Linked DNA regions of Rhinolophus ferrumequinum. The protein of the gene in region 4 purifies or fractionates together with the protein of the main gene of each other region. This does not show direct contact. Links are inferred from orthologs where the notes say so. Each region holds a gene or a part of one and is shown on either strand. Other genes may lie near its edges.

The links.
Region 1: the proteins of GSK3B (region 4) and GSKIP purify together in Homo sapiens (affinity purification with mass spectrometry; 10 studies listed by BioGRID and IntAct, with this or other methods). This does not show direct contact. The link is inferred for Rhinolophus ferrumequinum from reciprocal best matches to the Homo sapiens genes GSK3B and GSKIP.
Region 2: the proteins of GSK3B (region 4) and PRKAR1A purify together in Homo sapiens (affinity purification with mass spectrometry; 3 studies listed by BioGRID and IntAct, with this or other methods). This does not show direct contact. The link is inferred for Rhinolophus ferrumequinum from reciprocal best matches to the Homo sapiens genes GSK3B and PRKAR1A.
Region 3: the proteins of GSK3B (region 4) and AKAP11 purify together in Homo sapiens (affinity purification with mass spectrometry; 4 studies listed by BioGRID and IntAct, with this or other methods). This does not show direct contact. The link is inferred for Rhinolophus ferrumequinum from reciprocal best matches to the Homo sapiens genes GSK3B and AKAP11.

What each region holds. Positions count from the first base shown.
Region 1 is NC_046289.1:7,262,110-7,270,115, forward strand, and holds the start of GSKIP (GSK3B-interacting protein), read right to left. Parts: upstream 3,008-8,006; 5' UTR 2,937-3,007; intron 2,894-2,936; exon of another isoform or gene 2,594-2,893; intron 1-2,593. Other genes in the region: ATG2B (autophagy-related protein 2 homolog B), read left to right, coding at 3,566-3,727. UniProt on the Homo sapiens protein: A-kinase anchoring protein for GSK3B and PKA that regulates or facilitates their kinase activity towards their targets.
Region 2 is NC_046304.1:45,323,228-45,330,440, reverse strand, and holds the start of PRKAR1A (cAMP-dependent protein kinase type I-alpha regulatory subunit), read right to left. Parts: upstream 3,012-7,213; 5' UTR 2,859-3,011; exon of another isoform or gene 2,759-2,858; intron 2,607-2,758; exon of another isoform or gene 2,449-2,606; intron 95-2,448; exon of another isoform or gene 1-94. UniProt on the Homo sapiens protein: Regulatory subunit of the cAMP-dependent protein kinases involved in cAMP signaling in cells.
Region 3 is NC_046287.1:8,104,273-8,112,117, reverse strand, and holds the start of AKAP11 (A-kinase anchor protein 11), read left to right. Parts: upstream 1-4,845; 5' UTR 4,846-4,967; intron 4,968-5,426; exon of another isoform or gene 5,427-5,542; intron 5,543-5,875; exon of another isoform or gene 5,876-5,894; intron 5,895-7,845. UniProt on the Homo sapiens protein: Binds to type II regulatory subunits of protein kinase A and anchors/targets them.
Region 4 is NC_046285.1:45,648,298-45,655,325, reverse strand, and holds the start of GSK3B (glycogen synthase kinase-3 beta), read left to right. Parts: upstream 1-4,011; 5' UTR 4,012-4,409; coding exon 4,410-4,497; intron 4,498-7,028. UniProt on the Homo sapiens protein: Constitutively active protein kinase that acts as a negative regulator in the hormonal control of glucose homeostasis, Wnt signaling and regulation of transcription factors and microtubules, by phosphorylating and inactivating glycogen synthase (GYS1 or GYS2), EIF2B, CTNNB1/beta-catenin, APC, AXIN1, DPYSL2/CRMP2, JUN, NFATC1/NFATC, MAPT/TAU and MACF1.

The DNA.
Region 1 (8,006 bases), on a different chromosome or scaffold from region 4:
ATCTACCTTAAACGGATACTGAGAGAACTAAACGAGTGAACATCTAGGAAGGGCTTCGTGTGGCGCTGGGCACATGGTAAGCTCAAGAAATATTATCCGTCAATTATTATACACTAAAAATATTTAAAAATATCTTTAAAGAAAAAAGAGCTGACCTCGAAACTCCAGCCGTTTGATTCTTTACATTATGTAGGATGGCTGTAGCTGCTGCCTTGTATAACTCCAAGAGCCACGCGATGTGGGAGCCCGAACATCATGTTCCTGTTACATCAGGTGCAAGTTTTTAAAAAAGGCCAATGACGTCCCATCGGCTTTTCTTCTATTTCACATGTTAACATGGATTATTCTGAAGAATGACCCATTCGGTATCCTTTTATAGAACTCATTAGAAGTTGACAATGGTCAGGGATTATCTCCATCTTCCTCAATTAATGCTAGTTGTTAACATTTTGTGATAGTACTTTGATAAAACACAAAAATAGCATTGTGATTTAGGCTGAGTTTGTACCCTATTTGAGCGAAAGGTATGATGACAACAGGTCCTACACCTTAACATTTATGCTGAGTTTCTCCTAGAAAGCATAATGTACAAGGCAACACACCTAACTTTAAAGAGAGTACGTCTGTTATAAAAGTTTCCAATTTTTATATTTTTCTTATATTTGAAATTTCAGGCATTCTATGAACAGCCTGAATGTACTTGTAATTTTACATTCCAAAACAAAACATATAAACCTGAAAGAAGTCAGTTGCACCCATTCCTCAAAAGTCCAGTTCAAACCTCCCAAACCTAGTCTAATTCTCTGCCAGATGAGATCCCATCTTTGTTTCTATTCTCGCTATGGCAAGTGTTATCATTATATTCACAGACATGGCTTCCTATCTTCAAAATAGTGGGGGTGCCAAAAACATGTATACATAGGACTTGTATTCATTTTTTGTTACCGGTATATATTGTCACAATTTTAATAGCTTTTTCCTTTCTTAAAACGTGTATACATGTTTTTGGCACCCTCTATATCCAGAATCCAACTGCTTCTTACCATCATCACTGCTACCACTCTAACTCAAGCCACTGTCATCTTTTGTCTAGATTATTGCAATGTCCTTCTAACCGGTTTTCTTTTCTCCTTTGGTTCTCCCATCCCACACAAGTCTATTTCAACACAGCGGTTAGCACGATCCTGTTAAAACAGGCCAGATTATGTCACCTCTCCTCAAACTCCTTCACCCAGAGTAAAAGCCCAAGTTGTTATCATTGCCTACAATGCCCTCTATGACCTGACCCCTCTACTATTCCCTGCACCCCTTTCTGATGGTCCTTGACCCCACCAAGCATGCTTTTGCCATAGAGCCTCACACTTGCTGTTCCTCCTGCTTGGAAAACAACTATTCCACGTATTCACGTGCCTTGCTCCCCAGCTTTCTCCAAGTCTCTGCTAAAATGTCACCTTATTAAATAAGGGAGACCTTCGCTTACTCCTTTATATAAAAGTGACAAATCTCTTTCCTCTCCAGTGCTTCATTTTTTTTTCCTACGGCCCATATCACCAGATGGCATATGATTTATGCGATTACTGTTAGTTTCCCTTGCCTTCAACAAAATGTAAACTTCGGGAGGGCAGGGCCTTAATTAGTTCACTGCTATATCCCCAGCACTTAGAATAGTCCCTGGCTCAGGCAGGCAATCAATAAATATTTACTGATTAAAGGAACAGACCTTTCACTCGAGAACATAAGCTCCTTGAAGGTTTTGCCTGATTCTTCTTTACCTGTTACGTAAACCTTACCAGTTGCAGAGACTTTCGTTTAATGGACCCTTAACAAATATTGCTGAATGAAGAGCAAGGAAATTGAAGTAACTGAGAATGCTTGGGACAGGGCTACAAATGAGGGGTACCAACAATCCAAGCACCTACATATGTACACTGGCGAGCACACTGGTTCCAACATGAAAAGGTGGTGTGGAAAGGGGAACCAAACCTTTCTCCACCTGACAGTAGTTTGGGGCTGTGTTAGTGTTTCTAAGGCATTCACGAGTTATCAACATATACACAAAATCTCCTTAAACAGGCCGTCTTACTTTACTATCCTTAATTGAACTATATGAATCAAGACTCTGCTTAGGTTCCTTCCCCACTCATACCGTTTAATTTTCATAACAAGCCCGGGAGGTTAGCTATTAATACGCTCACACTTGGCAAAGGTTTAGAGAGAGCAGTGGCCGGATCAAGGTGGCTGGGCTAATAAGTGGCCGTATCAGGACTGTAACCCAGGACATCTGGCTTCCAGGCCAGCAAACACCTTTCGTGGTTGACTAAGTTAAGAGCCAGCCAGCCTCGCCTCTGCAGGAGTTGCCTCCCCAAAGGCAGAGAAATACGATGGCGCAGATTCCCAGAAAAGCACAAGCACTTCGCCCAGGTTTCTGAGGGGACGGGAGGCGTTAGCATTAATTACAGGAGGCAGTTCTGCCCACAAATGCCTCGAAAACTCAAGTTTCCTGGTCGCCGGCGCAGCACAGCAGGAGGAAGAAAGCGCTCGGGAAGCAGCCAGCCGCCCAACAGTAACGAAGATGAAGCTTTGGAAACAATACCTGAATGAGGCGGGTGACGAACAACTTGCTGACAATAGGCACCGGTCAACACTCGGGGGCGGCGGGAGGCGAGAGAGCGGCCGCAGCCCTCCCCGTGGAGCCGGCGGCGCTCCCAGCGCCGGGTTCCGGGGTCTGGGTCTGGGGTGACCGGGGCGGCCCAGGCCGGACCCGCCCCTGCACCCAACTCAGCCCCACACCGGGCCCCTTCTGCTGCCGCTCCTCCTGGCCCGGCCCGCTGCGCCGGGTCCCGCCCGGAGGACCCCTCGCCCGCCCTCCCTGACGCCCTCCGGCCGCCGCCAGCCCTCCCGCTCGCCCGCCCACAGCCGGCCCCGCGGACGCTCACCTGCGCGCTCCCGGCTTCCTCCTGCTCTTCCCTCCCAGGGCGTCGCAAACCGACCTGCGGCGCCGCCTCCTCTCTTCCCCGCCCTCGCCCCGCCCCCTCGGAGCCGGAACCGCTCGCTTCCGGGCCCTTCTCCCGCCTCCTGCAGCCCCAGTGTGGCGTCACTTCCGCCAGCGCAGGCCGCGCGCGGGGAGTCCGGGGCTCGCGAACGCGCCGGAGCGTCCCCAGAGTCGGGAGCGCGCCTGCGGATGACAACAAATTCGTCTCGCGGCGGCGGTGGAGGTGTCTGCCTCAGCCCCTGCCTCAGGCCCGGTCGCCTCGCCGCGCGCTCTCCTGCACCCTCTCTCCGTGCGGACGAGGACCCCTCCGGAAGACCCCGGGCCTGGGGCGCCCGCGACTCCTCCGCCCCGTGTCCCCGCCAGGCCTAGAGCGAGCGGCGCGGCGCAGGAGATGGGGTCGTCCTGAGGGACGCCTGGTGCCGGGAAGGGATGGAGGGGCCACCCCGGGCTTAGGCCCCTCCGCGGCCTGGGGACGCCGGCCAGTGCCCTTGCCGCCGCCGCAGCGGCCTGGAACCGGGGCCTGGGCCGGGAGGCCGGAGCCGCCGCCGCCCGCAGCCCTCGCCGGCCCTCAACATGCCTTGGCCGTTTTCAGAGTCCATCAAGAAGAGGGCCTGTCGGTACCTCCTGCAGAGGTACCTGGGCCATTTCCTGCAGGAGAAGCTGAGCCTGGAGCAGCTCAGCCTGGACCTGTATCAGGGCACCGGGTCCCTCGCCCAGGTCCCCTTGGACAAATGGGTAAGAGCTGCCGGCGGCCCCCCGGGCGGGACTCGCTGCCCTCCTTAGGGCGATTTGAACGAGTGTCACCCCAAATGTGTGACGTTCAGCCCCTCTCTGGGAGTGGCAGGGCTCAGAGAAGTGTGTTCCAGTCTTGTTTAATCTGTTCCTAGCAAGTTTGCGCCCCCAAATCACGTGTTCCAGAAACTTAGCAGAGGTAGTGGAGTCTACGCTGGCAATCAGTGCACGGAGGCAGCGCCTGGGGTCGGTGAGGGGGCCTGTGGAGCGCGGGGACCAAGGGCTGCCCCCTCGGGTAGGAGGGGTCGCGGGGCTCCGTGGCCAACACCCGGTTTCGTGGGAGGACACTCCGCGAGGTGAAGGATGAGGCGGACCCCTGGCAGTGTCGGAACGCCTGCTGGTTCCTGGGTGTGTTTTGGGTTGGCTGCTTGCGCACCGCGGTCTGCCTCCCGCATTCGCCATCTGGAAGAAACAGGTGAAGGCCGCCTCTGCCCATGTGCCTTCTTTGGCCCCTCGCGGTGTGACAAGGCCAGCCTGTGAATGGTTGCGTGGCCCTGGCCGTGCTGTTTAGTTACGCTGTGTGTTTCACGTGACGGATCGTAAACGCAGGTGTTGTAAAAGCACCGAAGCTGCAATTGGCAGACATTTAAACTCCTGTTTTCCACTTGTCATCCAGGGGCTGTGGGTTGACTCATCGTGTCTTACAGGTGCTTCGTGTATATTTCAATGCACCACATACAGTTGTACCGGCATTTGTGTGTTCAGTGCATACAGTATTTTACTGAAAGTGTGTTAAGCCTTGAGTTTGACAAGAATGGAGTGGCTTTTCTCCTCCCCCAACCCTTCGTTTATTGCACTCGAGTTTGCTGTTTACAGTTTGAATATGTTGTCCCATTCTGGAGTTTTACTATTCTAAAAACACTCCAACACACTTTCCACTTAGGAAATCATAGATATAGGTAAGTTTCTTAGGAGAGTTGTGTAAACAAAGGGAAACTTGTTTTCCTCCTCATTTAAGCTTTGTAAAAAGTGTGTGTTTTTTACCTTTTATGTAAAAGTATTTTAACAGAGTAATGACTTCCTGAGTCATAGAACCTTGAAATGCTCAGGTTATGGTAACACCTTATTATGACCCTTAAATTAATTGGCTCTAGCATGAATAAACATACAATTTTATCAGTAAATCGATGATTTACGCTGGGGAGAGCACATAGTAAAGTAGAAAGAGCCCTGGTCTGAGTAGCAGAAAGACCCAATGCCACACCTGGCTAACCCAGGCTACCACAGTTAGCCAATTGATATTGGATATAGTAACACATCTAAGCTCAGTAAACATTAATGGAGTGTCCACTCCATGCCAGGCAGTGTGTCAGGGTCCTGTATTGCTGTAACTCTTGCCAGAAGATAGGGTTTGTGATAGATATTTTTAAATTCATTGACCCATGAGTCTATACTTTTGGTACAGCTTTTTTTTTTCACTTGGGGAATATTGGCGAACAGTGTGTTTTTCCAGGGCCCATCAGGTCCAAGTCGTTGTCCTTCAATCTGGTTGTGGAGGGCGCAGCTCAGCTCCAAGTCCAGTCCCTGTTTTCAGTCTTAGTTGCAGGGGGCGCAGCCCACCATCCCATGGGGGAATTGAACCTGCAACCTTGTTGTTAAGAGCTTGTACTCTAACCACCTGAGCCAGATGGGCTGGCCCCTTGTGGTACAGTTTTGAATAGACTATCTTGAAGGAGGAGGATTGGGCCGTGTATTAACTGCCTTTTGTGGGTCGATTGACTTTGTACAGATTATCCTTTATGACTTTTCATATTAACTCTATGAGGTGGGTGATATGATTTCCATTTTACAGAGGGAGTTAAATAATTTCTCCAAAGCGACATGGCCAGCAAACAGTACAGTGACAATTCAAACCTGTCTAATTACTAAGCCGACTATTATTATTATTTTTTAATTAATCGTGTCTTCAAGGAAAGGACCGTGGATGCTTACTGAGCATCTATTTATTTAAGGCACTGTGCTAGGCACTCTCATTTGTGTGGTTTTGCTTAATCCTCATGGAAATCAGTTGGTAATATTCGAATTTTACAGTTTGACCAGGATTGATGGCAGAATAATTTAGGGCTCGATTTAATCTGAAGATTGTTTTGTTCTGCTCCTTGAAGGCCGGGGCTATTCCCAGCCAAAATGATAATGTCAAATAAAGCATCCAGTAAATATTTGCTGTTGCTGTTTATTTATTTATTGACTATAGTGTGCTGTGTTGGCGACTAAGATAAATCTTGATGTGACACTTAGCTATTCAAACTTCTGGTTCAAATTCAGTTACTTTTGACACTTGATTTTAATGACTTTCATTCCTGAAACAAAGATACCTCACAGATTCTTGGATCCAAGTGGAAGAATTACATCATTGGCAACATCACTAATGTTTCAGTTCTCAGCCATCAATTATGCACGGGATTATGTTGAAATTGGCTGTGACATTGCCGTCTTCCTTGATCTTAATCAGTTGTGCTTGCTAATTAATTAATTGGAAGGTGTTGCATTTTTTATATATAAAAAATTAACTTTAAAATCCATTTTTAAAAACTGTTCAGCAGACTTAGATTCATTGGGATAATTTTCCATGTTTTCGAATCTTTTATAACTGTGTAGATAATGACTTAAAAAAAGAGACAGTGTTTTTAATAGACATTATTTCAGCAACAGAATCATGTAACAATGGAAACATTTCCAAATACAATTTTTCACAACTGTTCCCCCCATAGTACAAGTATCCTTTGAAAAGCAGTTAGTTACTTTCTCACTCATTATTAAAGTGACATCTTTACTTTGAAAAGATAAAGTATGTTTAGCTTTTTGGAATACATCTGGTTGGTAGCATGTACTACCAATATCCATCTGTCATCACATGAATGGTCGGCATATTTAGCACTCTAATCTTGGTGTGGAAGAAAATTGCTTTTCATATTTAAATTCAACTCTTAAATATTTGGCCATAAGAAAACCCAGGAAATCAGAAAGTTACTGTTACTTTCTGTCTCTTTGCAAAGACTCAACTGCTTTAAGGTCTGTTTTTATTATGCAGAAGTAAGTTTCAGTGTGCTGAAAAGGAAAATCCAGCTGAGGACACCACTCTTAACTCTTCCCAGTGTGGAACTACTCATCTTCTCTTTGTACGGGTCTGATGTATGGTCTGAGTGAAGGCGTCAGTGCCCATTTGTAAATTAAATATTAGTACAACTTTTAAATCGAAAAATGAAAATTTTAATACAGAATGTCTAATTTTCTACTCACATCCCTGTGGATTATCGGTTATACTCTCTGGGATATACGAGGTGTGATCACAAAATGCGGTGAATGTCTAAATGACAAAATTTATTACCGTAAAGCATCCATTGCCATTAATCCCCCTCAAAATACTCCCCCTCTCTTCAAACACAGTTATCCCATCATACCTGCCACTTTCTGAAGCAGTTCTGGAAGTCCTCTTTCGTGTCTTTACTTCATCCTCCATCATGACAACACTCCATGTCACACATCGCTTCTGGTACGGCAATTTCTGTCAAATGAAAACATTACAGTGTGTCCTCATCCACCTTATTTACCAGATATGGCACCATGTGACAAAGTCAAAATGACCATGAAAGTATATGTTTTGAATGGACTCAGGACATGGGGGCAGCCACGACAGCACAACTGAAGACACTCACGAAAGAGGACTTCCAGAAGCACTTCAGAAAGTGGCAAGAAGGATGGGATAAGTGTTTTCTAAGCGAGGGGGAGTATTTTGAGGGGGATTAATGGCAATGTGTCTTTTACTGTAATTTTTTTATTTAAACATTCACCGTATTGTTTGATCACACCTTGTGCACTTTGGAGACCAGTGACTTAAAAGCTCTCGTAATGGGAGGGAGTGATAGGGACAAGGCATTTGGGACTATTCCACAGTTGGAATGAGCTGTCTTAGAAGTTCCTGCGTTCTTTTCCCATTGAAAATAGTATCCAGTATTGGGGTTAAGAGTTGGAGATAAAGATTTGGGAGTTATCAGAGCATCAGTCGTGACTGAAACACTGGAATGGCACAACGTGCACGGGCGGTTGTAGATTAGGTTGAGACTCAGAAAAGGTTGAAGGTGAAACTTAGATGAACACCCGCATTTCAAATGGTGAAGGGTTGGAACAAAGAGCGTGTGAAGAGGGTTATGGAAGCTAAGGAAAGTTAGAATTTTAAAAAGAGAAATTCATTGCATTTGTCAGCTTATTGGCCGTGAAGAGC
Region 2 (7,213 bases), on a different chromosome or scaffold from region 4:
CGTGGGAAGTGTGTAAATGGTAAACAGGACAGAGAATTACACGGGCACATGAGCAGGCCCTAAGTGGAAGCAAGTAAGCACAATGAAGAACATCTGACATTCCCTATACCGAACTCCTATCCCAGGGGATGCCCTAATGTCACCCAGCAAACCAGTGGAGCAAGGGATCTGATTAGCCAACTACTAGCGTAATTAAAAATTTTTAAAGCACAAAAGGAACCTCAGATGAATCTTAAAAGCAACCTTTTATTCCAGACTCTTTTAGCAGATTCCAGCTCTTAATTATAACACTTACTCATTGGTAAGAGGGAAAATCCTTAATAGAAGGAAAAAAAGCTTACCAAGTAAACTATAAAAGATTTGGACAGGAAAACGTCAAAACATTTTTTTCATCTGGACAGGAAAGTATTAAAATATGTTAAGTTTTAAGCTTACATGAAGATTCAATATAACAAATTACATTTAATGAAATTTAAAGGGTTCGAACTACCTCGATGTGAAGTAAAATAGAGAGAGAGCAATGTGCAGCTAACCTTACACTGGAATAAAACCTTAGTAATTTAACAATAGTCATAAACTGTTTTCCTTCTAACTCCTAATTACTAAACAGTTAAAAGTAAAAAACGAGGTCTCCTCCACTCTGCAACTGAAATTAATACTAATCAGACTTTTCCAAATATAATGCACACAAACCATTGAAATGAAACTGTAAATGTAAAAGAAAGGCTAGAATAAAGAGTTACAGTGCTACACTGTTACTCATGTTGTTTTGACAACTTTCATAAGGGTCAATAAAGACTGGATTAACAGATCATGAGAAAGTGTGCAGCTACCTGACAACATACATTAGAGAACACAGAAAAAGAATCGTGCTGCTACTTCAGAAATACACACTAAAAAAAAAAGTCATTCACTTGAGAATGGATTTATACCAGCCACTTTTCCATGTCAATCGTAAGAACTAAGAATCTCCTTCAGTAAAACTTTCTACATTTCAAATAATACTGAAGACTACCAAGAACAATGATAAATCGCATCTTGCATGCTTCAAAACACGCAGATATATTTCAGGAATATCAATACATATACTCAACTGACCAGAGAAATCATTCAAAGATCAGCCCCTGGTTGGTAGAAATGAGAGGATTGGGTCTAAGATGTGAAACTGTTTTTTTTTGTTTGAAACAAAGTAATGTATTAAAAAAGACCAAACAAATGACACTGGTAGATGCCCCCAAGATAATGCAGTCACCATGCAGAACCCCTGAACATCCGGATTTCACGGCCTTAAGATTTTCAATCGAATACACCTCGATTGACTCTGTACTTAAGTCTTAAGAGCCCAACAAGTTGGCTGCTCCTCCTCAAAATTATTTAATACTTTAAAAATTTCAAAGAATTGTCTCTACTCTTAAGAAATCACACAGATTCTTTCTTTTGGAAATTCAGTTGTGATAAAATTGTTTCAAATGGCTTACATGCCAGGAAATATTTAAAAACACTGAGAAACTCTTGCTGATTCAGACTGCACCCAGGAAGCCCAGCCAGGAACACCTCCTTGGGGTCATCTGGAGGAAGTGTTAGCTTTCTTTCCTCTGAAAAGACCGATCCTATGGGACTCTCGCAGGTAGTTAAGTCGTTGGACATCACACATGCAATCTGCGCCGGCGGGGTTAATAGTTACCGTCTATTTTCGAGAGGAAGGACGGGAGAGTGCCCTCCACTTATGCCAGAGTGACGGCCACAAAATGAAGAAGAGAGGCAGATCCCTCATCCCACTCTAAGTCCGAAGGCCACAGTGGTGGCGAGGCGGCCTCGGGGAAAAAATTCGGGAAAGGCAGGGCGGTGAAAAGGGACAAAAGGAAATACAAGAGTAAGGCGAAAATCCTTGGGGGTGGGGGTAACCCCGGGAAGGAGGAGACGCGATTGCTGGAGATGGCGAGGAGACCGGAGAAGAAAACAAGACCTGCTGGGTCTCAAGACCAGCCACAAACGCCGACGGCAACCACGGCCGATTCCGGTAAAATCGAGCTGCTGTCCTTCAGAAAACGAGAGCGAGCGAGAAGGCCGCGGCGCGCGGGGACGGAGGCGGCGGGGGCGCGTTGGCCGCGGAGGGCCGGTGAAGGCCGCGGAGGGCCGGGGGCCTGAGCAACGCGAAGTGGGGGGGAGCGCGCGGGAGTGGGGGGCGGGGCGGCCGGGGAACCCCGCACCGGCGCGGACGTTCCCGCGGCCTGGGGGCCTTGGAGGTGCAGGATTGGGGTCGGGGGCGCCGCCCCAGGCGTGAGGCCTGCGGAGAGGGGCCTGCTGGGGCCGGGGAGGGGTAGGGGGTGCGGCCGTCCCCCTGCAGGTCGCTCCCCGTGACGCCATCTTGGATCGGTCCAGCTCCCCCAAACGGGCGGCGAGGCGGCGAAGCTCGCCGCGCCGGGGCCCCTCGTCGACCCCACTTACCTGGGGACGGGCGGCGAAGGGCGCGGGACTGCGAGTGCGAGTCTGCGGCTTGCTGAGCTCCCTCAGCACTTCCCTCCCAGCCCTGCTCCACTCTGCGATAGCGGCTCCGCGGCGGCTCCACCGGAAACAACCCGGCCGCAGCCAATCAGCGCTCGGCTGCTGACGTCAATGTGCCTCGCTCTGGCCAGAGCCGTTGCCTAAGCAACCTTAAAGGCGCAGCGGCCCCAGGTTCTCCCTGGCCCCTCCTTGAAGGACCCCCCAGTCCCCCTCACTCTCGAATCTTTCTCCTTCAGCTCTACTTTCATCTTACCTCCGTCCTTATCCGCAGGCCCTTCCTCGCTCCTGCCTCTTCTCCGTTCTTCGCTCTCTCTAGCTCAGCACTTGCCTTCTGTTTACCTGTCCCTTCTTACCTGTTCCTCTCTGGATGCCTTGGATCCACTTTATTCTTCCTTCGACTCTTCGCTCCCTCTGTGCGCAGCTTTCGAAAGCTGCCTTCTTTCCTCCTCCCCTTTCCTCCCCTCTTCTCTCCTCCCCACTCTCACTCAGCCTCCCTCGCCGCCTCTGCCTTTTCTCTCCCCTTCAACCCCCGCCCCCCACTCCAGCTGGCCCACGTGGGGCGTCTCGGATGACAGGTGGGCGACTCCGCCCCGTGGCCCCTGCAGGGGGAGGACTTGAGGCCCGGACCGGGATTCCTGCCGTTTCCAGGCACCCGGGAGGCGGCGGCCCGGGCGGATCTGCGGCAGCTGCGCTGGGGGCCGAGCGCGGGCGGATGCCCGGGGGCCGAGCGCGGGCGGATGCCCGGGATGCGCACGCCGGACCGCGCATCCTGTGCCCCGCCAGAGTTGCGCGGGCCTCCGGGCTAGGGCCCGCCATCCGGTCCAGGAAATCTGAGCCCTGCCAAGTGTCTGCTTGGCCTTTGAGCTACTCTCCTCTCCGGGGGTGCTGTCGTCCGTCCGTGGAGGCCACACCGTCCCCATGGGCACAAGACACTGGAAAGGACTTTGTCAGGGTCCAAAAGAGGCCTGAGCCCTTCTGGAACCTGAAATGCCCCCCGTCATCACGCCTGACCCCCCACGATGAGAAGCATAAACCTTGCAGATTGGTACAAACACACCGTGACCATACACGAAATCCCAACTGCCCGCAAAAACTGCACTAATCGAGGATGATTGGTGAGGGAGCGACTTGACTCCTTCAGCCATTTTTTTCCATCAGAGTATCTGCCTGTGGAGGAAGAAAGGGGGAGCAGGGGACAATTTTAGACATATATGTCGCTAAATGAATACAGAAGGCCCTTGGAAGACATGTCTTGTTGTGTCTGACTGGTACCTGTTGTACTCACATGGTACAACAGGGTTGTATGTGTAAACAATAGATTTAAAACAATGCAAAAAATATATTAAAATATCTCATTAATAATTTTTATATTGATTCCATGTTGAAATGGTAATATTTTGGATATATTAGGTTAAATATTGATAAGATTAATTTCACCTTTAAAATTTTTTTAAATATATAATAGCTATTAGAAAAATTTGAATTATATATATATGGCTGGTGTTATATTTCTGTTGCATAGCACTGCCCTAAGAGGCCAACTGCTCCCCTAAATCCATCGGGCTATAATAAGTGTCCTGCTCATCAGAACATTTTATTTAGTTATGGTTATCCCATTTTCTGATAGAGGAAGGGTAGGAACTGTCAGAAAAACCATTATGCCTGGTGTGGGTGGAAGTGTAGGAGGGAAATTTCTCCTCTCACGACCCTTCACCCCCATATGTTGACCATTGGTCTTTTGCCAGGGATGGATGGAATGGGGGATTAAAGACAGAGCCTCAGTCATATAGGATTTCACCCTCGTCGGTACAAAGAAGAGCTAATAAACTGAACCCTAAGCTGGCAAGCAGGAGAGGGAATTCGATAGCATTGAGCAGGCCCGGTCCTGTACTGAGAAGAAAACAGTGCAGTCAAATAAATCTGAGTTTGGTGTCAGGCTCTGCCATCTCCGGTAATTGACTTAATCTCCGTGAGCCTCAGTTTCCTCAATCATAAAAGAATGAGCAGGGCTGTGTTAAAATTAACCAGTAAATATAACAACAGCAAACACGTACATAGCACTTACTATGCCTGGCACTGTTCTAAGTGCTTTACACAATACTTAATTTAATCCTCATAATAACTCTGTGGCATAGGAATTATTATCACTGTTATTGTTACAGAAGAGAAATGAGGCATGGAGCAGTTCAGTGACATGCCCAAGGCCACAAAGGCAGTGGTCTTAATTGCTCTCCTTTGCAGTATGTATGTAAATACAATGCCGAGCACAGTGTGGGATGCAGTAAATGTTAGTTTGCCTCCCACTTCTCCTCCCCCTTTCTAAAGAACTACCCAAACTACAAGGTTAAAAATGAGTTGTACTGGGTCCCACCATTAGTGTTACCTTTCTAAGACACTTAGAATATGAAAACAAGCAAGCTGCTGACATTGAACTGAGTGCTTTGAGTGACAGCTGTTTCCTAGCTAAGGCCTGGGTGTATGTGTTCCCTCCCCCACCCCCATTCAGTAGCATTCAGGCGCCAGTCCAGCAAGGGGCCATTTCCTGTGTCAGTTGTGCTCAAGCTTGTTCTAGCTGCCAAACCCTCATATGCTGGGGCTTTAAAAGACAAAAAGGGAATTGGGCAGTAGATAGTTGAGCCTGGGGAGAGTTCACAGCCTGGACAGCTGTTTTGAAAAACAGTCCCAGTGGTTTCCAAATGGTGTGAATGCTCTTTCAGTGCCCCTGTGCCATTGCAAGAATAACACCTTGTAAATTACATTTCAGAAATGACAATGGTTCCACTAGTTTCCATGGTTTCCTCTTCTCCAGAGGCCTTCTACCCTTGATTTGAAGGGCTGTGGGCCTTTCCTTTGGCCCATGTCATTGGAAAATTCAACAAAGTAAGTTTCTAAGAGTAGTGGGGCTGTAAAATTTTCTCTTTATAACAGAATTCCTAATTGCCATTACAATGTTTGTGAAACAATAGCAAGCAACTTTAAAAACAAAATAAGTATCAGCAGTGCATTTAGTAAGCAGAAGTAGAACTAAGAACCAAAACATAAAAGGAAGGAATACTTTGGTGGCCCATTGCTTAGTGTTTCCTGTACTCAAAGCTTCCGTTGGCTAAGGATGGAGCCACATATTTCAGATTTCCAAGGAGAACTTTTCAGACTCCCACCACCAATTGGTGGTGTGCAGTGGAGCTGAGCATTTTTGCTTCCTGTGGAACTCAAGTTGTGGTTTCAAACTCAAACTTAACCCAATTCCAGCGAGTATTCAAATGCCAGATGTCTTCCTACTTTTTTCACAGGCAAATGCTTATCTAAACTGAGAAGTGGTGTTTATCTTGAGCATTAATTGAAATTATCAACCACGAAACCAGAAGAGTGGCAAACTTGGGTCTAATACTAAAGAGAATTGCAAGTTAAAATATCTTCAAAACATGTCTTCATCCAATATCGCATATTTAAATCCACAATGTTCAACAAGAGAGACAGAGTACTATTAATTAGTCAGGTTCTCCAGGGACACATAACCAATAGAATGTGGAGAGAGGGAGAGCAAGATTTTAAGGAATTGGTTTATGCAATTGGGATGCTGGCAAGGCTGAAATCCGCAGGGCATGCATGTAGACTAGAATCCCAGGGGAGAGTGCATGTTGCCACCTTGAGTCTGAACGCAGTTTGGAGGCAGAACACCTTCCTCGGGGATCCTCAATCTTTTATCTTAAGACCTTCAGCTGATTGGGTGAGGCCCACCCACATTATGGCAGGTAATCTGGTTTACTCGAAGTCTAGCGATTAAAGGTGAGTCACATCTAAAAAATGCCTTATCAATAACATCGAGAGTAGTGTTTGACCAAAAACTGGCTACCATGGCCTAGCCAAGTTGACACATAAAATTATTCATTATGATCATGAATCAAATCAAGCCCAGATATTTGTATGAATCTCTTCTAAATATTCTTCCTCTGGATCGATTTCCTATGCCTGTACTACTTCTAACTAATACTAATCCTTTATCAGTAGGGCATGGATTTGAGGCTTTAAAAAATAGTGATGGGTCTGTCACCCACACAGACCTTTCAGGTGTGTTGACTAGGCTCAGGAATCTTCTTTGATTCTGTCAAACTGACAAAGTCAACAAATCTTATTAATGTATGCCTGTTAGCATTTTACTGACCATGTAGCTAGCTATACCTCTTCCAGGAAATACATGTATGTGTATGTATGTTATGGGCCCCTTTGAGAAGCTCATAAAAACCATGAGCTTTCTACCCAGAAAATATGCACAAACATACATATGACATTTATCATGCTATTTGGGTGTGCTCACAGATTCTGAAGCCCATCCACACGTGATCACCAGGTTCAGAAGCCTTTAAAAACATTTCCTGAGCATCTATACAGCAGACACTGGGTGCCAGGGTTGCAGAGACAAAGAGCCAAGGCCCCACCCTGAAAAGCTCACGGTCTTAATGGACCGGCAAGAACATGGTGCTTTCCCTATAAAGGCCAAACTATGAAGGTGAGGGGTTGAGGAACACTGACAGGACACCTAACTCCGACTGAGGAGACCAGAGATGGCCCCCCAAAGGAGGTGCTCGGACACAGTGGAACCCAGTGAGTCCTGACTGGTCTTTCCTGCACAGGAAACTGATGGGTAGGAAAGAGCATGGATTTTTAGAGAATAGCTCAGGATTGCGGAAGGATAAGATGGGAGATGGCA
Region 3 (7,845 bases), on a different chromosome or scaffold from region 4:
ACTTCTTTTAAATAATTAACTCTATACCAACCATGTAAATTCAGGAGAGCGATGATATTTTAAAAGTGCTCTCTCATGAAGTAATTACATTTAGGCATGATTATCTGGTTTTGAATTTCAGACATTTATAGATTACATTTCCTTAAAAGACAGTATGTGTATATTTTGCATATTGGAAATTCAGTCAGTAGTTAATTATGATGATTTAAATCAGAAGAATCGCTACATTTGAGTACGATATATAATAGCACTCAAATGTATTTTGCTAATTCAAGAGGTCTTTAATTCAGAGTGGCACTTTTGGACTAAAATCTGTACTAATAATTACAGTTACGATTTTAGAAGTCATTGAGCATTTAATGAACACCTATATAAAGAAACATTACTAGGTATCATGTTACAAGAACAGTTAAGATGTGTTTCTGTCTTTCAAGAGACTCATTACAAAAGAGGTAAGTAAATAAGTTATAAGCTATATAACAGACAGTAGTGTAATATACATGCCTTTAAAATAAAGGCATGAATGAGATACTTCATCTTTTAAATTTAAAAAGCATTTTGCATGTTTAAATGGCTGATGAAATTATAATGTCCACATTTTTCCACTTTCAGAATATTTTCCATTGGTTTATTAAGTATTATTACAGTAAAAAATGCATGTAAACCAACCGCTGAGAAAGTAGTCAGCTCCATTATCTTTCTCTGCGTTTTCCAATGTTCTACACAATAAATGTATATTAAATCACTATCATAAAAAAAAAAAAAGAAATCTCCCAAACTGAGCAATGTGGAAAAGAAGGACTTCACATCTCTTTCACAAGTGAACTGCCAGCTGGGCCCATCACTCAGACAGGAAACAGGAATTCAGCAAGTGGGCCAAAGGGAGATGCGAGTTTTCAGACAGGAAGCGATCTGGAATCTGCTTCTGGCTGTCCGAGATTGCTAGTGTAAAGCTCCAAAGCTCCTGAGGAAAGATGATGCCTGCCTTTGTAGTCAGAAGGTCATTAGGAGGATTCAGCTGAGAGGCTAGCTTTGTGCAGTATGCTTAGTTCCACTGAAAGGTAGAACCAGACGGAACCAGCTAAGTTTAGTCTGAACTATGACATTTAGTGCCCCATGTGATCTAGACAAAGTCATTCAGCCTTGCTGGGTCATAATTCTTTCGTGGCATATAACCCAAATGCCTTGGCTCCATTAGACTACATAAACAAACGAACGTAAGATTTCCATTAAATAGCAAAATGACATTGGAGGAAACACCACCAACTTGGTTGATAGAAATTAGCTCACTAAAATGTTCCCTGGGGACATGTGAGCTTTCCTAGGCACGATCTTAGGTACACTCAGACTCAGCCTGTGTTATCCGACCTGTCACACTACTCACTTGGCCCCTGAGTACACCACTGGCCTTCCCTTATTCACACCCCCTCTCTGTAGGAAATATGGCAGGGGACACTTGTGTCCCCTGCTAGACCATTTCAACTTCCCCTTACCACAGCACATACTGGGCTTATAACATTGATGAAAATTTTGCTGAAGATTCCTAGTATTAAAAAATGATTAAAGAAAAACAATTTAGGGGATACAAATAAACACTTATTTAACACTTCACGAAGAGGACAGTCTCCATTCGGAGAACCACAAAATGGGAGGGAAGGCAGGAAGCTTTTAAAGGATAAAGAATAAAGAAAAAGGAAGAAAAAAATAGAAAATATCTGATTGGCTGGGGCTGCATCGTCTACCTTGTTTGGCATGAAAAGGAATAAGGAAATAAGTATAGAGCTCAGAGTTGGTTTTGTGTTTGGGGATTGGCTGAGTGGATATACTGAGTGTCTGGTCTAACGGAGCGTTTACAGGAACTCGAAAGTTATCTTTGTTTTGTTGATGTGTCACCCTGGGCAGGAGCAGCTCCATCTTGGGCCTAAAACTTTATTTCAACAAATCAAGGGACAGAAAAATAGAACACAGGATAAACTGTGAAGATCCCTTCCTTCCTTCCTTCCTTCCTTCCTTCCTTCCTTCCTTCCTTCCTTCCTTTCTTCCTTCTTCCCTTCCGCCCTCCCTTCCTTCTCGCAGTGGAGAGAGACAGACATTAAATAAGTAATCACTCAAATAAAAATCATTATTTTTATAAAAATCAAGTTGATAAATGCTTTGAAGAAAAAGTAGAGTCCTAGATAAGGAGGGGCTTACTTAGTTTAGGGAGTTCGGACAAGAGTTCTTGAGGAAATAGAGTAGAGCTGAATGGTGAGGGATCCATGTGCATTCAGAAGCTAAGGGGGATGACCAGACAAAGAACATTCAATACTGAAGGAACAGCTTGTGGGAAGGCTCTGAAGCAGGGAGGGTCTGGGCCTGTTTTGAGGAACTGAAAGGAGAACTGTCTGAGCGCAGGGGAGAAAGCTAGGTATATCATGGGTAGAACCACAAGAAGCCAATGAAGGGTATTTAGCCACGGAGTGACATGGTCAGATGTAAATTGCCTGAGTAGAAATGCCAACCCTCTGGGGATGTACCAAAAAACATGGAATTGTATACTTGAAATGGGTGAGTTGTATGGTATGTGATTGTATCTCAATGAGGCTGTTAACAAAGGAAAAGAAATGTTAAAAGAATCAAGAACTAGGCACATCTGTAGAAATGGATCTCAATCCTAAATTTCTTCTCACGTTGTATTTGTTGTACTCCGAAAAATTGGCCACAATGACTGTCTCGCTAGGGTGACTTGGGAGGATTTATGGCTCTATTAATACAAGTCAGAATGGTAGAGTCCAGCCCATTTTCATCTAAGTTAGCAGTACCAAGCAGCTGTTTCAGTTAATCATTATGACTGCAAAGGCTCTAAAAGAGGCCTCCGTTCTCTCAGTATTTTAAAGGAATGGTCTTAATTTGTTGAAATACTCTTTCTCTTTTTAGCATTTTTCCTTTTAAGAAGTAAGCCTATCGGGTTCCTTGAAACCTTATTTGCATTAAAATTAAGGTGTCAGCTTAACTTTAAGATATTGCCTCAGCTCTTTTAAACATTTATTTTCTGTTTTTTCAATCTTGATTAGGAACATATGAATCATTAGTTATTAAATACTACACAGGTTCAAAATAGCTACAGAGAAAGGGAGTATGAGGTTGAGCAGGTGGCAAAGCTTCCGTTTTCCCCCTCTGAGAAGGCCAAGATTTCTTAGGGAAGCATTCCTGGTATCTGTCTTAGTTGCGTAGTTCCTCAGCTGGTGTGTGTGTAAGTGTGTGTTTAATTTCATTTGGCTTGTGTTGTTGACTCTTAGGTTTTTATAAAACTTTATTTCATTTGCCTTTCCAGCTTCTCTCTTACTAGGGTATGCATGCATGCAGAAGTGTAATTCAGACTTAATGACTTTGGGTGGAGGCTGCTTAAATTGCCTTGTTTTATGTATGAGGAAGCTGAGACTCAAAGATAATAAGGTACCTTGATTTGGTTGCCTCACCAGTTACTGAGAGGTCTTCCAGAGGGAACTCTCACGTGTCCTGACTTCTGTTTCTTTTAGTGAAACACCTTCATTTTTCAGCCTTCAACCTCTACTTTTTTCAGATCTTATACTTAGGAATAACTATCTTCATTGAACATCATTTTATGTTGCTTTTTCTTAGAACTGACTTTAAGAATAGACAGAAGTGGTTTTCTGTGTGGTGTAAATGGAGGGGAAAAAAATGGAAGATGACTTTCCTTTTGGGCCATTCGTTTTCCCAAGTAACAACAACAACAAAATCTATTTCTTCTATTGTAATTAAATAGCAGTAACTGAAGATATGTCCAGATGTTTTTAACAAAAGGCAGCAAATAGCACCAGGGCTCGAATGGCTTTTTAGAAGAGGAATGTCAATTCAAGGTTATTGGAGGCCGAAGTCTTTCAGGACTGTCTCTCACATGGTACTGCAAGTCTCCTAATCTACTTGCTTCCTTTGTGGCCTCCACCAGATCCATTCTTTGCTGGGAAAATCTTTCTTTTTTTAAATAAACATTGGTGTCTCCCCCCTATTTAAAACTTTCCAATGTTTTCCACTGCACTTAGAATAAATTCCCTTTGATTCCTTTCTTGGCTTACAAAGCCTACAGGATCTGGCTCGTGTTTGTTTACTTCCTCGGACTTTTTCATATTTTCCTCCTCAAACCTAATTTTGGGGCTTTGAATTAGTAGTTTGCTTTGCCTGGGAATGCTCTGTCCTCTGATATTTGCATGCCCGTTATGCAAATCACTACTTAAGTGTCTCCTCCTCAAAAGGGCTGCCCTTCAAGTGGCCACCCAATCACAATCACCATCACAGCATTTCTGGTATTTTCTTCGTAGAGAGGTTAACACCAACACATATTTTTTTCTTTCTTCTCCCTCACCCAATAAGCTCCCTAGAACCGAGACTTATTTGTCTCCATCACTGCCTGGAGTAATGCCTAACATATGTAGGAGCTCGACAAATACTGGTTGAAGAAATGGACATACGAATGCACCCTTTCTTTCCTGCTCCTCTCTTCCAAACAGGGCAGAACCCTTAAAGAGGATACACTTAAAAATGCCTTTCATCTATCAGGTACTTCCACCCTTGAGGAATACACGTCCTTGAGGAGACTGAAACTTGACTGGACTAGCCCTTACGATTCTAAGAGGAAAGAATCACATATTAGCTTTTCATCTAGGGCTTGCTTTCTCCGTGACCAGTGCTTTTACTTCCCGATTGCGATTCCTCCTAAGATGTAAGGGTGAGCACTAGGGCCCGGAGATTCCTGGATGCTAATTGTTGAGGTTCGGATAGGGCCGTTGGCCTGGTGCGCTGTGAGTGGTCCTCCCTAGAGATGCTGGGGAGAAGGGGCGGAGCCACCCCAAAGGCTAAGCCTTACTTGGGCCGTCAGATCTGGTGGGGCTGCCGCTTTGGAAAGGGCCCCGAGAATCAGAAGAAAGCTCAGCCAGCGTGGGGCGAAGGAGTCCAGCTGACCCTAGGCGGTAAGACTAAGGGGTCGAAGGGATGGAAGCAGGGACTGAAACCAAACCTGCAGAGCGAGCCAAGGCTTGGGTATTTTGCCAGAGGAAAGGGTTAAACGGTTTCCATGGTAACGGGCCAGGAAGCGCGCAAGACGTTCGCCGCAGGTTCGTAGGTCAGCCTCGAGTTTAAAGCTCCCACGGCTGAGCGGATGCTGGCCAATGGGGAGGCCGCCTCCACGTCACGTGACGCGTGGGGCCGCTCCACCAGCTGCCAGGGAGCACGTGGGAAGGTTTTTCCTTTTCCTTCTTTCCTTTTTAAAAGCCCACCCACTTTTGCGCGGGCTTGGTCACGGAGTTCTTCTCGCGAGAGGCGTGTGACCCTCTCGCGAGAGTGAGTGGGAGGCGTGGGGACTAGGTGGTGTTGCGGACCGGAGCTGCGGCGGCGGAAGCCGGGGTGGGCAGGGCGGGGGCGGGGGCGGGCCGCGGGGAGGGGAGGGGGGCGGGCTGGGGGCCGGGGCGGGAGGCGGCGGCCGCTGGCTCGGCAGCTCGCGCGACCGGCCGTTGCGAGCCGGCGACATGACTGTGAGCTGCGCCAGGTGAGCCAAGTGCGGGTCCGCCGGCGGCGTGAGCTGCGGGCGGCGGCGTGCGGGGCCGCGATGGATGGAGCGGCCCTGCTTCGGCGTGCCAGCCCTCCGCCCGCCGGCAGTCCTTGCTCTGACTTCGGGGCTGCGCAGAGCTGCGCCTTCGCTCGGCGGTGGGAGGAGGGCGGGAGCAGCGGGGCGGAGGGAGGAAGCCCACGGCCCCGGGCCGGGGCGTGGGGGTGTCCTCGGGTTCCAGACGGGGCTTCCTGGGGTCCGGCGGAGCCCCTTTGAATGACAAGTTCAGTTTCCATCCCCAGGGTGGTCTTCAGAGCCGTGTTCCCTCGGTGCGTGGCGGTGCGTTCGCTTAGTGAGTATTCGTGCTGCGCGCACGGGAGCGTTTGCAGGAGGAGGAGGACGTTGCACTCTGTCTCCGAACAGCATCCTTCCACTGTCAGAACCCCTGAGCTCGAACGAGGCGCGACCCAAATCTTGTGATAAGAACGGAAGGCGTTTAGCAGCAGCTCCTCAGAGTGTTGATACTTACATTTGCTGTCAGTTTTTCTCTAAGGCTATCAGTGGCTTAAATGCTGGCCATATGTGTTCTGAGTGGATTGACTGTACGTCTGTTATTCCAGGCACCTTAGCTGCCTTATAATATATAACCAAAGTATAAAAAATGTTGGCAAAATGAGTATGGCAGTAGAATCTAAACCACCACCGGGGTATGACTTCCTAACAATTCTTTTCTGCTTACCATCTCCTCTAACGCTTGTTAAATTGGAGATGGTTTAGCTTAAGATGTTAAGGAAATAGCAGTATGAGAAATACTGCTGAGACATATCTGATGGCCTTAGTGCAAACCGGTGTTAAAAATTCCGGTTGTGTTTTCAGCTTTGTAATTATTCAGCCCCTTACAAAACGCGTAAAACACGTAAGCTGTCTTTAGCGGGTTCCCACCGTGTTGGGGATGTTTTATTGATGGATCCTGACTTTGATATAACTGGAACTACTCAAAACATGTAGAGTACTCAGCAAATAGAGGGTACTCCATAATGCATAGATGGTTTTTAATGTCTTACCATTTTAGAGTAAATGGCAGCACAGTTCCCAGCATGATTGGTGTCATTTAAAATAGTGCAATTTAATGAATATTTTTAAACACACAGTCACGTTTTTCAAGGAGTACTCTGGTTATTCATACTTTTTATGTTCCTTCTGGCAGCACTGACACAAGGGTTGTTGACAGTGAATTTTGCTGTTGTAGCTGTAACAGAATAGTTTATGAGAGATCAAAGAATGTAGGGCAATCGGAACAAATGGGTTCCCAGGCAGAACTGATAACTAGTGATTAGTGATGTACTTATAACCGCATTAATGATAAGGACCTAGCAGTATACTTGTAGGCCAGTGATACGTCCCAGTTGATGGGATATGGGACTAGCCACTGACCCTTAAACACAGGGAGAAATTCTCTGGCTTCTAAACTCTAGGGGTAAGTCTAGAAGCTGAAGAAATCTTCCTTTGCCTTTAGAGGCTGGAAGGACATACATATATATATATATATATATATATGAAGTATATACACATAATGTATATTATGCATATACATATATATACAAACATACATACATACATTATTTTTTTAATTCTAGGGACTTACTGTCTGGAAAAGGAAATCAAACCCCATCAGATGATACATTATAGCTCATTTTTAGGGAAATTTTCAGTTATAAATAAGCTGTGGCATTCTGTCTATACTTGCAGAAAATGTGAAAAACTTAGAAAATGTCTTTTTGAGAATGAGCAAAAGAAACTGATCTAGACTTAAAAAGTTCCCTCCGTTCCATCTTGGCAAACTGATCTTCGGGGATAGAAAAACTGATCTTTTTGCTGGTTTTGATGACCCTTTGGCAAAGGTTTCAAGCTTTTAGGATGTATTTTTTATTTTTCTAGCCTTTGAAAAGTAATTGAAGTCATTTTGGGTAGGACAATTGTTTAGGTAAGCTGCATTTGTTCTCTTTTTGTCAAGTGGCTTGCCTTTTAGTAATAAAATCAGCCACTTAGAGGGAACGAAGGGTGGGGACAAGTCAGGAAAAGATCTCAGCTTGGCTTGGGCTTGAGTTAAGGGTGTATAAACTGGTGAAGTGGGGAAAGGAAAGAAAAGTTCTTTATCAGATCCAAACAGATCTAAATGTGTTCCTCCTGCCACTCATCTTTATATATAAAAGTTCATTTTATTTTAAAATATCTGTTAGAAGTTAAGGCATTTGAGATACATTGAGACTGGGAAGGATGAAAGTTAACATTTTTGGATTAAT
Region 4 (7,028 bases):
GGCATACCTCATTTTATTGCACTACGCTTTACTGTGCTTCACAGATGTTTTTTAACAAATTGAAGGCAAAACCCTACAACCAGCAAAAAGATTACGACTCACTTTATTGCCATGATCTGGAACTGAACCTGCTATATCGCCAAGGTATGCCTGTACTTCTTATTACTACATAAGCCTGTTCATTGTGCATTTTAATTTATAATTATTCTTTTGTGGGCACACTCACTAACCTTTCTTTTTTTTTTCTACTACACTACTTAACCTGTTGTGTCCCACCCAGCTTTCCTACCTTTATCTTTCCCTAGTCCTTTGGTTTGTTACTGTGGCTCAGAATCACTTATCTCTGCAAGGGAAATCTAATAAGCCCTGGAGGAAACCAAACTGTTATAAACCAAACTAGGGGATATGTTCACAACCAGGCACAAACAGTTCAAGACATAAGGCTTAGACTTTAAGATAAAGCAAGACATACCAGGAGAGGTGGGGACTGCTTGAGAGAGAGAAGTGTGTATTAGAACAGTGAATCTGAATCCTGGTTCTACTTTAGCTCTGTGGACCTAGCAAGTTAGTAAACCTTCCTGGCCCTCAGTTTCTTCATCTGAAAAGCAGAGGTGATAACACTACTTACGTCATAAGATTATTATAAATTTGAGATAGTATGTGTGAAGCACTTAAGACCAGTGTCTGGCATATTGTAAACACTCAGCAAATATTACCTATTAAAATTATTACAAACTAGTAAGTGGTTAACAGCAGGTTGGAAGGTAAAGTGTTTGAAAATTCAGAGAAACAAACACTGAATGTTAATTTCATCAGTTCTGTATTTTCTCATAAACTTCTTCAAGTCCTAATTCTGGATTGAAACACTTTTTTTCCTATAAAAATTCCCCATGACTTGGTCAAATTTATTTTTTTTAAACAGCATCAGTTCAAACTATTTGAAGGCACCAACAATAATCAGTCTTAGACTATTTTTGTACTTTATTATATACAAAAGAATAGCCATGTTTCCAATTTGTATAACCTAAACATGTTATTCCCTTTCCCGCTGGTAGAATTGGGAGTATGGATGGGGAGTCCAGAGGGAGGCAGGACGTAAAGCGCCTCACAGCATTTTTAGGGACTAGTGACAAAGGTCATTCATTAACAATAGTTTGCATGTAGAGGCAACATTCATTGGCAAAGTTGCCATGCACTGAGTTTGCTTTTAACATTCTTTACTCTCCTCCATGACATCCAGAGATCTCATATTCTCACTTAATTGCAAAGAACAAGAGCCTCTACTGCTCTGGGGCTACAAAACCCATGCTCAGGTTTGAAATTACAAATTGATTGCATGTTGGCCACATTTACCCCAGGATGTTTAGTTTGGCCTTCAGGGTTTTGAAATACTGGTTGCTAACATTTAAAAATAGAGATATTTTACACAAATTAGGGTTTCTCTTGGGAGAGGGAAAAAAACACAGAATCTCTCAGAACACTGGACCTACATTCCTGAGGCCAACAATCTGCTAGATCTGAACAGCTGCTCCCTTCAGTTACAGCATGGACACTCCAGTTTGCCACATTCCTTATCATTCCTCATTGTCTTCCACCAGGCCAGTCTTACTCATATGCTTTACTTTTCTGACCCCTGTAGACCTGTCTGCAAACCCTACCTAGACCTTTTTTGCCTACCATCAAAGCTTAGTTTGTTTTGCCCTAAGTCCCTCATCAGTATGTCAAAGCAATAGCTACATAATTTGATTAGCCATAGGTATTTTTACATGTGCTTTCTGGAGATAGTATTTTAACAGAAAGAGATGACTCTTCAGGTGGAAATTACAATCAGGATAGCAACTGTCCATTCTACTTTTTCTGCTATCCTGACGTAGTCATACCTCACTGTCCTCAAGCAAACCAAAGGAAGTGGTTTTCTGCAGAACAACACCCGGCTCTATGTGAAACCTACTTAAATAATACTTTCATAGATCACCCTAGTTCCAAAGGACCAAAAGCTACTAAGGGCTATTCTGACTCCCCATTTCCTCGGAGGCTTCAGGATATCCGGCCTGATGGCATTTCCCTTCACCTGATTTTTGGGCCCGTTTTGCGCTGGGCAGTCGCGCCCAAGGAGCGCGCGCGCATCCAGCATGAGCTCATTTCTCAGGGGGCGTTTCCAGAAGGCCGGCCTGGCCGCGCGCACCAGGCACAGTCTCCCTCTTTCTAATCAATGGCCCCCACGGCTGGGCGTGGCGCTGCCTCTCTGAAAGCTTTGTTCCCACTCTAGCGTCTGTGAGCTCGCACCCCGCCGGGGAGGCGCCTGGATCCATCTGGCCCTTGCGGGGAAGACGCTGGTACTCGGGACGCGCTAGCCTGGGCAGAAGGGAGTCTCGGAGGCGCAGAATTAGCCGCGCCCCGCCTAGAGCCTGTAGTCGGTGGGGAGAGCCCCTAAGCCCTCTGCTCGCCTGAGCGCTCCGAGCTCAGCCCAGCCGACCGCAGCAGTTTCGGACCCGCTGTGTAGAGGGCCCGCGCTCCCTATTTGCGGTTTCCACATGGTCTGAGAGCCGCCGCCACGACCCCAGTCGAGCTTCTTCTGGCTCCTGGGACCGCCGCCGGAGGTCGGAGGCCAATCACATTGCAGCTAGGTCTTGCGATTGGAAGGCAGTGAGTGCCGATTGGCTATCGCTAGGGTTTCGGCCTCCCTCCTTTTCCCTTTTGCCCCAACTCTAGCTCCAAAGCTTCAGGCCAATGAGAAGGCGCTTTATAGACGCCCTCCCTTTGCTTTCTTCTCCCCTCCTTGGCGAGGGAGGAGACGTTGTGACTGGCCAGACTGTCCTCGGAAGCCCCCTTCCTTTCACCAATCACCAAGGGAGGTGCACTCCCAGCGGAGTTTTTGGCCAATTACAAAGCAGCCACGGAGCCCAGCCGTGCTGTTTCACCCGCGACTCGGAGTTTCACTGCCCTTAACTCTTCAGGCGGTTTCGTGAGGGCCGGCGACTCTGATTGGCCACTATTGCCACTGTCGAATTTCTCTAGCCAGCCACAAAACAAGACGAACCCACCTTTTTCTGGTTCGGGTATCTTCGGCATTTTTCGGACTTTGGGCGTGGATTTCCAGCGGCACATTCTAATTGGGTCCTTAGGTCCATCGGCTTTTTCCGGGAGGAGCCGCAAACATACGACGTCTGTGATTGGCTACGCTCAGGCTTCGGTCCTTTAGCAGAAGCGGCGGGCGCAGGGCTCGTCCGGCGATTCCCAGACTCCTGTTACGCGGGCGGCGGGGCGCTGGGTGGTGTAAGGCTGGGTGGGGGAGGAAGGAGGCGGAGGACGAGTAGGAGGGGGGAGAGGGAGTGGGGAAGAGCTAGGCGGCTGCGCAGACGGTTCTCCTCACACAGAGCAGCCCCTGACCCGGGCGAATGCGGGTTTGTGCTGCCGTCGCCGCCGCCGCCGCCGTCGTCCGGCCCCAGTGACAAAGGAAGGAAGGAAGGAAGCAAGGAGGAGTCGGCCCCACAGCCGCTGACAGGGCTCCGGGCTGGGGGCAAAGCGCGGACACTTCTTGAGTAGGCACCGAGCAGAGGCGAGGGGCGGGAGGGCGACCGCGCTGGTGCCGTGGACGGGGGAGGGGGCCCCGAGGGACGGAAGCAGTTGCTGGGTTCCCATGTCCCCGGCGTATGGGGAGCAGTCAAGGAGCCGCTGCTTGGGGTCTGAAGGGAGCTGCCTCTGCCACCGCCGCCGCCATGGCCGCTGGATCCAGCCGCCGCCTGCAGCTGCTCCTGGCGCAATGAGGAGAGGAGCCGCCGCCACCGCCCGCCTCTGACTGACTCGCGACTCCGCCGCCCTCCAGTTTGCCGAGCCCCCGCCGTCAGCCCGCCGGATCCCGCCGCTGCCGGAGCCGCAGCGTTTTCCGTCGCATCTCCGAGCCACCCCCTCCCTCTCCCTCCCTCCTTCCCATCCCCCTTCTTTTCAAGCGTGAGACTCGTGATCCTTCCGCCGCTTCCCTTCTTCATTGACTCGGAAAAAAAATCCCCGAGGAAAATACAATATTCAAAGTACTTATTTTCAATCAAGTATTTACCCCTGTTTCGCGTGATATATATATATTTTTAGGATTTCTCCCCTCCTCTCTCCTCCCCTCCAAGGAAAGGGAGGAGAAAGAATTGTATTTTTTTCCCAGCCCCAAATCATCTATATGTTAAATATCCAGACTGATCTGTCTTGAAGGAGAAATACATCGCTCGTTGTTTTATAGCTATACAAAAGGAGTGAAAAGCCAAGAGGACAAAGTCTTTTTCTTTTTCTTGTGGGAGAACTTAATGCTGCATTTATCATTAACCTAACACCCCAACATAAAACAAAAGGAAGAAAACGAGGAAGGAGGGAAAAGAAGGTAATTCGGAAGGAAAAGGTGATTCAGAAAGAGAGCAATCATGTCAGGCCGGCCGAGAACCACCTCCTTTGCGGAGAGCTGCAAGCCAGTGCAGCAGCCTTCAGCTTTTGGCAGCATGAAAGTTAGCAGTGAGTATTGATTTTATTTTACACCCCTTCGCCACCTCACCCTTAGAATAACACACCTTGAAATACCAGGATCTTCAAATCTTAGACCTCCTGATACAGCAATCAGGGGGAATGGAAAAAGGCAAAAACCTGTCTTCAGTCAAGGATGAGGCAGCTCCCTCTTTTCTCCTCCCATACTCCCTCCCCCGGTCTCATTAACCTTGAATTGAGAGAATATGCTTTTTATTTGGATGATTTGGTTTGCGCCTAATTTTTTATACTTTCCTTGCTGTTGATAGTCAGCTTCATCCAGTGCTTAAGTATTTCCACGTTAAAATAGTGATGGAAGTGTTTACTTGCTCATCCTTTTGGATAAAGAGAAGGGCAAGGCTTGATTCATAAACCATTATGTACGTTCGCTCAGTGTATGTCTTTTGGAATGAGGGATATTTTAGTTAGCTCAGGTCTCAGAGGTTGTCATAGTTTTGTATACTTAACAGAGAGACTGAGTGTCACAGTCTCCTAACATTTCTTTCTTGCTTAACGATACAAAGTATTTGTTCTTAATCCGGAAATCAACTTGCTCAGTAACCAGCATTAGCGTTGGGAGGCGAGCATTGATCGTTCCGTTTACAAGGGGCGGGTGGGAACTGATACACAGTAGCAGTAGTGTGTCTACATGCATTGTTTTAAATTGGATAAGTGGTTTAACGTGTTCTCTTAATCTTCCCGTTTTGACATTACCAATCTACCACTATGTAATTATGTTTAATCAAAAGATAACTTGGTCCAAGTTTTGATTGAGGTTTGTATTGTCACGTTGCCAAATATGAAGTTCAATGTTGATGTTAATTGTTATTGACTCCATCATTTAAGTTCAATTTTGGGGTGGCCTTTGCATTCAGTACTTGTTACATGAAGAGTTCAGGGGTCCCTTCTTAGGACTATTTAAAATACTCTTGCATTGGTTTCCTGTCACATTTAGATAAAACTGTGGATTTAGTTATAAGATGTAGATCTTTCCATCATAGGTTTTGCAGAAGGCTGTGATCCTGGATAAAATAGGGAAATTTGGGCTGTGTTCAGGGATGTTGCTAGACTGTATTCTTATCCCAGATTTATACTGAAAAGTCTGTGTTCTTGAGGTGTTAGTATACTAAGTGTCCAATGTTCCAATGTATCTCTATTTGTGGTTATGTTTATGTGCTATTTAATGACAGTTTATTTAAACATATGTGCAGAATTTAACAAAAATATAGCTTTATGTTCTTATTCCTGAGGAAAGGGGCATGATTAGGGTAACGAAAAACTAGTTTGTTGCCTAGAAGAAGGAGAGAATGAAGAACTGAGATTTTTTTTTTTTTAAAGTATATGCTGGTACGTGAAATTGATTATATCTTTAAGCAACATAAAATGATTTTAATTGAACTCAGGCTTTCAAGTCATGTTGGCCTTTGGAACTTGCCAGAAATAGGGTAGTCTAAGGTAATAGCTGAATGGAAGATTATTTTTGAAAGTTAATTTTTTTTTTTTTTTGGTGACTGGCTTGTACAGAATGCAGGGTATGTGAAGAGGGAAGCTGATGATGCATCTTTCAGGGAAGGATCAGGCTTTCTAAGCACTGGGGTCATTTGAAAGGAATATTTTAAAATTCTGGGGTAATTTTCAGCTATGATGAAGCAAATTTTGTAATAGCTACTTAAGAGCCTCTTGTGGTAGTGGAGTGTTTGCTTTTCATCTTGGTAATATAGTTTAAAAACCACTCAAAATCAATTTTCGGTAATTAATTTATTAAATCTGTTTTAGAGAGCCAAGTAGAATAGCTTACGATGTTAAATTTTTGGACTTTTCATTTTGTTTCCAGGATTTTGTTTGAACAAGACTCTTTAATTCTCGATAGTGTGGATGTTGGCTAATAGGGGAACCCCTTATAAAGTGTGTAGGTTAAAATGTTTAATTATCTGTTACCATATAGGTCAACTTAACATTAAAAAAGCTGGAGTTCAGTGCTAATTGTTTTTGACAACATTGACTTTAAGGACATTTTAGAAGGGAATTGCTGAACATTGGTTAGAGTGCTAGTGTTCTAAGGGACCCCTGTTCAGAAGAGATACATGAGAAATTGTAGTCCGTGGCCTCAATAGCTTATGATTTAGTTGTAGAGGCAGGTTATAAAGACAAAAGATGAAAACAATATGGTGATGACTGTAAGTGTATAAATACAAATATAATGCTTTTTTCAGAGGGACAAACAATAAATGGGGTGAGGCAGATGGGTTGGAGAGGGAAGACTTCCTGCAGAGGTGTGTTTTAAGACAGGTGTTAAAGGAGGCGGTAACTTCAATTGACAGAGAAGTATAAAGGATTCTAGATGGAAGGAATGGACAGAGATACAGAAAATGGTGATTTTTGTATGACATGTAAATGATTTTTGTACTTACTAAGCAAGTAGGTAAATTTGAATTAAAGGGTCCTAAATTGGAAAATAAGAAGTGATGGAATTTGAGAAATGTGTTCATATTAGCTGGTGGGGGTAGAAGGGGTCTGTAAGA